Xenopus tropicalis: one gene and its partner. The protein of the gene in region 2 interacts with the protein of the main gene of each other region in a pairwise test. Links are inferred from orthologs where the notes say so. Each region holds a gene or a part of one and is shown on either strand. Other genes may lie near its edges.

Region 1 (4,106 bases), on a different chromosome or scaffold from region 2:
CTGGTAGAACATAGATGGGCCCGTGGGCAATGACTGGTAGAACATAGATGGGCCCGTGGGCAATGACTGGTAGAACGTAGATGGGCCCGTGGGCAATGACTGGTAGAACATAGATGGGCCCGTGGGGCAATGACTGGTAGAACATAGATGGGCCCGTGGGCAATGACTGGTAGAACATAGATGGGGCCCGTGGGCAATGACTGGTAGAACATAGATGGGCCCGTGGGCAATGACTGGTAGAACATAGATGGGCCCGTGGGCAATGACTGGTAGAACATAGATGGGCCCGTGGGCAATGACTGGTAGAACATAGATGGGCCCGTGGGCAATGACTGGTAGAACATAGATGGGCCCGTGGGCAATGACTGGTAGAACATAGATGGGCCCGTGGGCAGTGACTGGTAGAACGTAGATGGGCCCGTGGGCAATGACTGGTAGAACATAGATGGGCCCGTGGGCAATGACTGGTAGAACATAGATGGGCCCGTGGGCAATGACTGGTAGAACATAGATGGGCCGTGGGCAATGACTGGTAGAACATAGATGGGCCCGTGGGCAGTGACTGGTAGAACGTAGATGGGCCCGTGGGCAATGACTGGTAGAACATAGATGGGCCCGTGGGCAATGACTGGTAGAACATAGATGGGCCTGTGGGCAATGACTGGTAGAACGTAGATGGGCCCGTGGGCAGTAGGAAATATCCAGTAGAGAAGTGGCTATACCTTTGCTTGTTGCTATGATACTGTATGTTTAAGGTGGCTGAGTTGGCCGGGCAGGGGCTGATCCCCTAGTGATTCATTCATTCACTTATATTAATCCTAGCTGTAGGCTAATTGTTAGATACAAACTACATTACCCAGCATGCAGTGGGACAGGTGCGTCAGGTTTACCAGGTTTCCACACTACAAACCCGCCAAGGCTCCATAGAAACAGCCCAAATCTGTACCTTAGCGGGTTTGTACTTTGGAAACCCACCTGGGCTTTAGTTAGTAGCTCAATTGGGTGGAAAAGCCGCCAACCCGGTAACCCTGACGGTAGCACTTAGTGTAACCAAGCCAATAGCTAAGGCTTCCGGTTTCCGGGCTGAACCATACCAACCTATACATTCTGATTCTAATTTGCCAGGATAAAACATGGCGTTTTCCTTTTCCGCCCTTTTCCACACAGCCGGTGATTGGTAGGCATTGCAAACCAATCCAAGAGGCTCGGCCAGTGATTGGCCCGCTGCGGGTGAATCAGCCAATGGCAGGCGGAGGTGCCTATTGCCAGACGGAAACATTTCCCGCACGGCGTGGTGAGGGCGGAAGTGGTACGGTAGGAATAAGGGTCCGGGGATGGTGGGAGGGAGCCAGCTGGAGAACGCGAATCCGCTCATTTACCGGCGGGCGGGGGAGCGGCAGGTCACAGCGCAGGAGGAGGATGAGGACGCGCCGGACCGGATCGATGACCGGGAGATCTTTGATATCCTTCCGCGTATATGAGCCGTACCCATGGGCGTAGTGCCGGGCTCACCCCCTGCCTGTTCCCTAGCAACCGGGGGATAGAGCCCTCTCCCGATAATATCCGTGTCCTTCCTGCCCCTTGTATCCGCCTGTGCCCATGGGGGTAACTGCCTCGTACTGTTGCCTAATACCCCCCCCCCCCCAAATCTACTGCCCTGGGCTGTCATCCACTCAGCGCAGTCTTATCCCTATCTGCCCCAGCAACTGCCCCCTTCCTATACTGACCCTTCCCTATCTATCTGCCCCTTCCTATACTGACCCTTCCCTATCTATCTGCCCCAGCAACTGCCCCCTTCCTATACTGCCCCTTTCCTATCTATCTGCCCCAGCAACTGCCCCCTTCCTATACTGCCCCTTCCCTATCTATCTGCCCCAGCAACTGCCCCCTTCCTATACTGCCCCTTCCCTATCTATCTGCCCCAGCAACTGCCCCCTTCCTATACTGCCCCTTCCCTATCTATCTGCCCCAGCAACTGCCCCCTTCCTATACTGACCCTTCCGTATCTATCTGCCCCAGCAACTGACCCTTCCGTATCTATTTGCCCCAGCCCTATATATCTGCCCCAGAAACTAACCCTTTTATATATATTTGCCCTATTCCTTTACTGACCCTTCCCTATTTACCTGTCCCATCCCTATACTGACCCTTATCTATTTATTTGCCCCATCCTAATACTTGCACTTCCCTATCTATCTACCCCTGCAACTGCCCCATACCTAAACTGACCCTTCCCTATCTATCTGCCCCATACCTATACTGACCCTTCCCTATCTATCTGCCCCATACCTATACTGACCCTTCCCTATCTATCTGCCCCTGCAACTGCCCCTGCAACTGCCCCATACCTATACTGACCCTTCCCTATCTATCTGCCCCATACCTATACTGACCCTTCCCTATCTATCTGCCCCATACCTATACTGACCCTTCCCTATCTATCTGCCCCATACCTATACTGACCCTTCCCTATCTATCTGCCCCTTCCCTATCTATCTGCCCCATACCTATACTGACCCTTCCCTATCTATCTGCCCCATACCTATACTGCCCCCTTCCCTATCTATCTGCCCCATACCTATACTGCCCCTTCCCTATCTATCTGCCCCATACCTATACTGCCCCTTCCCTATCTATCTGCCCCATACCTATACTGACCCTTCCCTATCTATCTGCCCCATACCTATACTGACCCTTCCCTATCTATCTGCCCCTTCCCTATCTATCTGCCCCATACCTACACTGACCCTTCCCTATCTATCTGCCCCATACCTACACTGACCCTTCCCTATCTATCTGCCCCATACCTATACTGCCCCTTCCCTATCTATCTGCCCATACCTACACTGACCCTTCCCTATCTATCTGCCCCCATACCTATACTGACCCTTCCCTATCTATCTGCCCCATACCTACACTGACCCTTCCCTATCTATCTGCCCCATACCTATACTGACCCTTCCCTATCTATCTGCCCCTTCCCTATCTATCTGCCCCATACCTATACTGACCCTTCCCTATCTATCTGCCCCATACCTATACTGCCCCTTCCCTATCTATCTGCCCCATACCTATACTGCCCCTTCCCTATCTATCTGCCCCATACCTACACTGACCCTTCCCTATCTATCTGCCCCATACCTATACTGACCCTTCCCTATCTATCTGCCCCTTCCCTATCTATCTGCCCCATACCTATACTGACCCTTCCCTATCTATCTGCCCCATACCTATACTGACCCTTCCCTATCTATCTGCCCCATACCTATACTGACCCTTCCCTATCTATCTGCCCCTGTAACTGCCCCATACTTATACTGACCTTTTCATATACAGTATATCTGCCCTTGCAACTGCCCCTTCCCTATCCATTTGCCCCAACAATTGCCCAATCCCTTCACTCATTCTCCGATATCAGCCCCAAGCTCCAGCCTCTAACTGCCTCTCAACAACCTTCCACATTTATTGTAAAGGGCAAGTAGCACCAAAGCAAGTTTTTTGTTAATGAATTTAATATGCGGTTACCCAGCATTGCTAGTCATTGTGTATAAGGAATTCGCTGTGTAGCCGGGGGGCTGCCATTCATGTTCCAGCGGGGCCCCCCTGTATATTGGAGGTACAGGAGACGCTGTTTGCAATACAAATATTTCAGAACTTGAGCTGGGCTCATATAGGCACCAACTCAGGATGAAACTTGCTCCTATCAAATAAAACTGATACACATACTCCCAGTTATAATGTCACTGGCCCATTAACCCTTTGGTAGCTTGCATGTTCTACTTATTGAGTTTACTCCTTGCTTTCCCTTCCATTGCCCTTAATTCCGGTACATCTGATTCGCTGTATAAATGACCCGGAACACCCACTTACGCTGGAGGAACTAAACGTGGTTGAAGAAATTCGAGTGAAGGTGCAAATTGCTTGTTACCCTATGGCCCCCCCCCCCCCCCCCCCCAGTATAAGTAAATGTTATGTACTAACAGAAGAGCTAAATTCTCTTAGTGAATATCCCTATTACTGTGCGTGTTTGTTCCTCAGGTAAGTGATGAGGAGAGCACAGTGTCCGTCGAGTTTACCCCGACCATCCCGCACTGCAGTATGGCAAC
Region 2 (4,260 bases):
CATGTCCCTCCAGAGTGGTAATGCACTACAATAAAAAAAAAAAAACATAAAACTATTACTGTTCATTGATAATCCTATCGTTTAGAGGGCCGCTATAACTTTTAATCATTCCGGCTGATTTGTGCTTTATACTGGAAAAAAGCAAACTATTCTAATTGTAATTTTTTTGGTATCTCTAGAAGGTTTATTGAAAACTTTAGGGGGCTGTCAATGCTAATGCTATGAGAATACAAAGCATTGCTAACTGAATAAAGATAATAATTTCAGACCATACCTCCTTGTCAAAGGACTGCTGTACCTCTAGAAATACAGTAGCCCTGCAGAAGTAATAAAGACATTTTTATTGTAACAATGGGAAATATTATACTGTGTATATTGCTTTGTATCACTGTAACCACACAGGGGACGTCCAGGACACAAATGTGGAGTACAGAGAACCTTTACTGGACTTTGAAAAAAACAGTCCATAAATGTGTCCTGCTATATTTCCTTGAAATAGCACATAGCCTTGAATTTCTGGTTTTACTGGTTAACAGGCAGGTGGCTGGCATAATAAGTATTCTTTTCTTAACACTGACAGAATGCCAATGTGGTGCCCTTTCGCGAACTTGGTTCCTTCTTTGCCAACATCCCGCAAAGCCACTATTTGCAATTAATAGGATATCTTATAACCCAATCACCCATCGATTAACACCCCACCCCAAAAGAAGAGAAGAGCTTCTTGCACACAATAGGTCACAGAAGAAATCCTTGTATCTAGATCCTTAACTACTGCACTCAGTCCTTTACATTGCTTCTGTTACCTACCTCAAACTCCTCTTTCTTCTTCATCCAGATGCAAGTGGTGGCATCAAAACTGGCAGAGGCCAAATAATTTCCACAGGGTGACCAGGAAACTTTCCGGACCGTGCGCTGATGTCCTTCACCGAGGACTGACTTGCATACCCAGTTGTCCCCTGAAGAACCAAAGAAAGACACATTTTAGCTTAATAATACACAAGAAGAAGGCTTTACTATACTAAATCAGTTAGCAGCAGATGGAAATTGGCATTGTCTTTTGACAAAATAATGTTGGTTGCCTAGAGCTTTAAAGTAACATGAATGTAAGGGTTTGGCATTGGGTGAAAACTAAACATTCGGCTAAATTCTGCAAAACATGTTGGGGTACGGCTGAATCCAGAACTGAATCTTGGATTAAGAGGATAACTAATAAGCACTTGGCTGCTTTCACATAATCTAGTATAAAATTATCTTGTGTGGCTCCATTGCAGGCTGATTGTTGGGTTAGGGCCACATATATCTCTGTGGTTGGTGGCTTACTGCACTCTGCAAATAATTAATTTTAGGGGCCACCCCAAACTTAAGGGATAACATATTTTCCATTAATAATATCCAAACTGCAACCCTTATCTCTCCTGGTTCACCTTGCAGTTATGCCTTAGTCATTGGCACTAACATCCCCTAAGGTTTTAACTTGCTGAAATGATTATGTACCAGGTAACAGTTCCATAACTATACACTAAACTCACCATCTTTGCCCCAGATCCGGATAGTACGATCTCCCCCGCAGGAAGCCAGTAATGTTCCAGAGGGATTCCATGCTAAAAACCAGCACCGGGAGTCAGGGTGAGCGCTAACCCGAGAGAGGAGGGTGAGGGTGTCCTTCATTTTGGGGTTATTCTGCAAAATTACAGACAAAAGCATGCTTAACCATCAAGATACCAGTTCCTTACCTACAGTATTTACCCCATACCTACATTTTCCATCATCCTGACAGAGACAAGTCAGGTTGGATAAACTTGCTATGCTCCTTCCCTGAACTAAATCTGATGCCAGCATGGCCAGGGAATCAGGGACTTTCCACCTAAAACCTAGGTGCTTTGCAGGTATTCCATTGGTATCTGACCAAATGCAGGTCTGAACCAGGGACAAAAGCAATGCTTCCCATATAACAGATTAGATGCAGTTCAGAAAGAACAGTAGAGGGGCACTTTGCAAGTCTCTCCTCTATATATATATACTGGAAACAACTTTTGCACAATAATGTTGTATAATTATTCTACATATTGAAATGATGTTAGCGTTAGACCATGAATATCTATAGCATGACAGTGTGGCTAGTCTCCAATAAGAGTGTAAAGATATTAAAAAAATGCAATGTTTGCCCAAGTGCAGTAACTCATAGCAACCAATCAGATGTCTGCTTTAAAACTGGTCCCTACTAATTGCTTGCTATGGGTTACTTGCCCTGTCAACCAACCCCATGTCATAATGGAGCTAATAATTCTAATAATAAACCTAAATCCTACTTCACACTTAATGATAACATGAAATAAGGCTTGAGAAGGCCTGGAGTAGATCATTATCTCCCTCATGGCATGGGGTTAGTTGTCACCTCTGTATTTGCTTTGTATGTTCATCTCCTTCCCCCTCCACCCTGGGGGGCCCACAGCAAATGCCCTTTTTGCCCCAACCTGCAGGAGGCCCTGCCCCACTGCCCCTACTATGGCCACTTGATATTCTGTGTTTGTTCTACCAATGCACATCACGTGTGTCAGGGCCACTGCTAAACCCAATTACTTATTTATGAAGGAATACTGCACCTAAGTATATATATATGTATGTACGTACGTGTATATGAGCTGTATGAGTGCCACAGCTTTTAAAGTTAGCCCACTAAAGGCCAAAGTCCCGGCCGCCAAGAAGCCCCCCAGCACCTCTCTCTACGCTTTTAGTCTCCCCTCACCGCCTTTCCTACTTCTCCGGGCTGCGCCTGCGCATAACTCGCAGCTCCTTCCTGCTTCTCTGGGCCGCGCCTGCGCACAACTCGCAGCTCCTTCCTGCTTCTCTGGGTTGCGCCTGCGCACAACTCGCAGCTCCTTCCTGCTGGTTAAAAACTACACATCCCGGAATGCCCTTCTGTGGTACAAGGAAGGTGTTACGTCATGATGACGCAGTTTGGAGGCGGAAGTCAGCTGTGCTGAGGTTCGAGGTCCTGGGGGAGAGAAGGACCGGGAGCTGCGGTGAGTAAATCGATCGGTTTGGCGCCTGGGATCGACACCTTTGAACTCTTTTACTGTTCGTGAGGAGAGAGGGAATAGATCAGAGTAGGCCGCCGTATTGCCTGACATCTTGGCTCCGGTAACTACAAGTCCCAGAATCCGTAGCTGACAGTAGAGCGCTTGGGTTGGAGTTTGGAGTCTCGGAGGGGTGACTCGGCAAGCTTAGGGTAAACTAGAACTATACAGCCCCTTGTACCGGTAATACTGCCATGTCTATTGGCAGCTTTTATTTCTAAAGCGCCGACGCGTTCCCTGGCGTTGTACAATGCGGATTTGGCGCAGCTGTTCGGTGTATCCCCCAGCAGCCCCTTTGTTATGAGGCGGCTCTGTCCCGAGTGGGTGGGTAGAATGTGCTTAGCCAATAAAGCTGCAGCTCAGAGTGGGCTCTATTGCTGGCAATGGGTTAGAGCTAAGAGGAGACTTGATCTATTTGGGGTAATGTGTAACTTTGTAACAAATATTTTGGCTGTACAATTAATTAGGGACAACCAGTCACACAACAGCTGAAAGGTTGGGTTGAACTTTATTACTTCTCTGGGTGGCACCAATCCTGCAATGCCTGGGGGCACAAGAACATAGGGGTCCCTACATTCTCCTCTGGTTCCCTCCCAGGGGTGTCATCCACAGGGACCCTAATGGGACAGGAGGGGGTTCCTAATGCTAGTACTCCAATGGGTTCTGGGTGTGCTTAGGGGTTCCCATCACCTCTTCTGATTTGCCATTTACCCCTCAGTAACACCAAAAAATAAAAATGTTTTTAAGTAATCATAATACAATGCACTGTTGCCCTGCACTGGTAAAATTTGCACATTTGCTTTAGAAACACTTCTATAGTTTATATAAAAAGTTGCTGTGTAGCCATGGGGGCAGCCATTCAAGCTGGAAAAAGGAGAAAAGGCACAGGTTACATAACAGATAACAGATAAAACACTATTGTATTGTACAGAACTTATCTGTTATCTGCTATGTAACCTGTGCCTTTTCTCTTTTAAATGGCTGCCCCCGGGGCTACACAGCAGCTTCATTTACTAAACTATAGTAATGTTTCTAAAGCGAATACAGTAGTAGTAGTTCCTTTTATACACTTTTTTGGTGTTACTGTTCCTTTAATGATTATGGCTTTTCTTTAGATTCTGATTTGTTTTTCTCACTGTTTCCTCCTTGCTTAGCCAACACCTATTCATGTACAGCCAGTTGT

What was found. The genes of interacting proteins can lie anywhere in the genome.
Region 1: the proteins of ciao1 (region 2) and ciao2b interact in binary tests that used the Homo sapiens proteins (3 or more experiments, as listed by UniProt). The two-hybrid records come from large-scale screens. The link is inferred for Xenopus tropicalis from reciprocal best matches to the Homo sapiens genes CIAO1 and CIAO2B.

The regions. Positions count from the first base shown.
Region 1 is NC_030681.2:7,564,513-7,568,618, forward strand, and holds the start of ciao2b (mitotic spindle-associated MMXD complex subunit MIP18), read left to right. Parts: upstream 1-1,306; 5' UTR 1,307-1,334; coding exon 1,335-1,461; intron 1,462-3,830; coding exon 3,831-3,910; intron 3,911-4,038; coding exon 4,039-4,106.
Region 2 is NC_030679.2:125,065,746-125,070,005, reverse strand, and holds the start of ciao1 (probable cytosolic iron-sulfur protein assembly protein ciao1), read right to left. Parts: upstream 2,801-4,260; 5' UTR 2,632-2,800; intron 1,681-2,631; 5' UTR 1,669-1,680; coding exon 1,530-1,668; intron 957-1,529; coding exon 808-956; intron 26-807; coding exon 1-25. UniProt on the Homo sapiens protein: Key component of the cytosolic iron-sulfur protein assembly (CIA) complex, a multiprotein complex that mediates the incorporation of iron-sulfur cluster into extramitochondrial Fe/S proteins.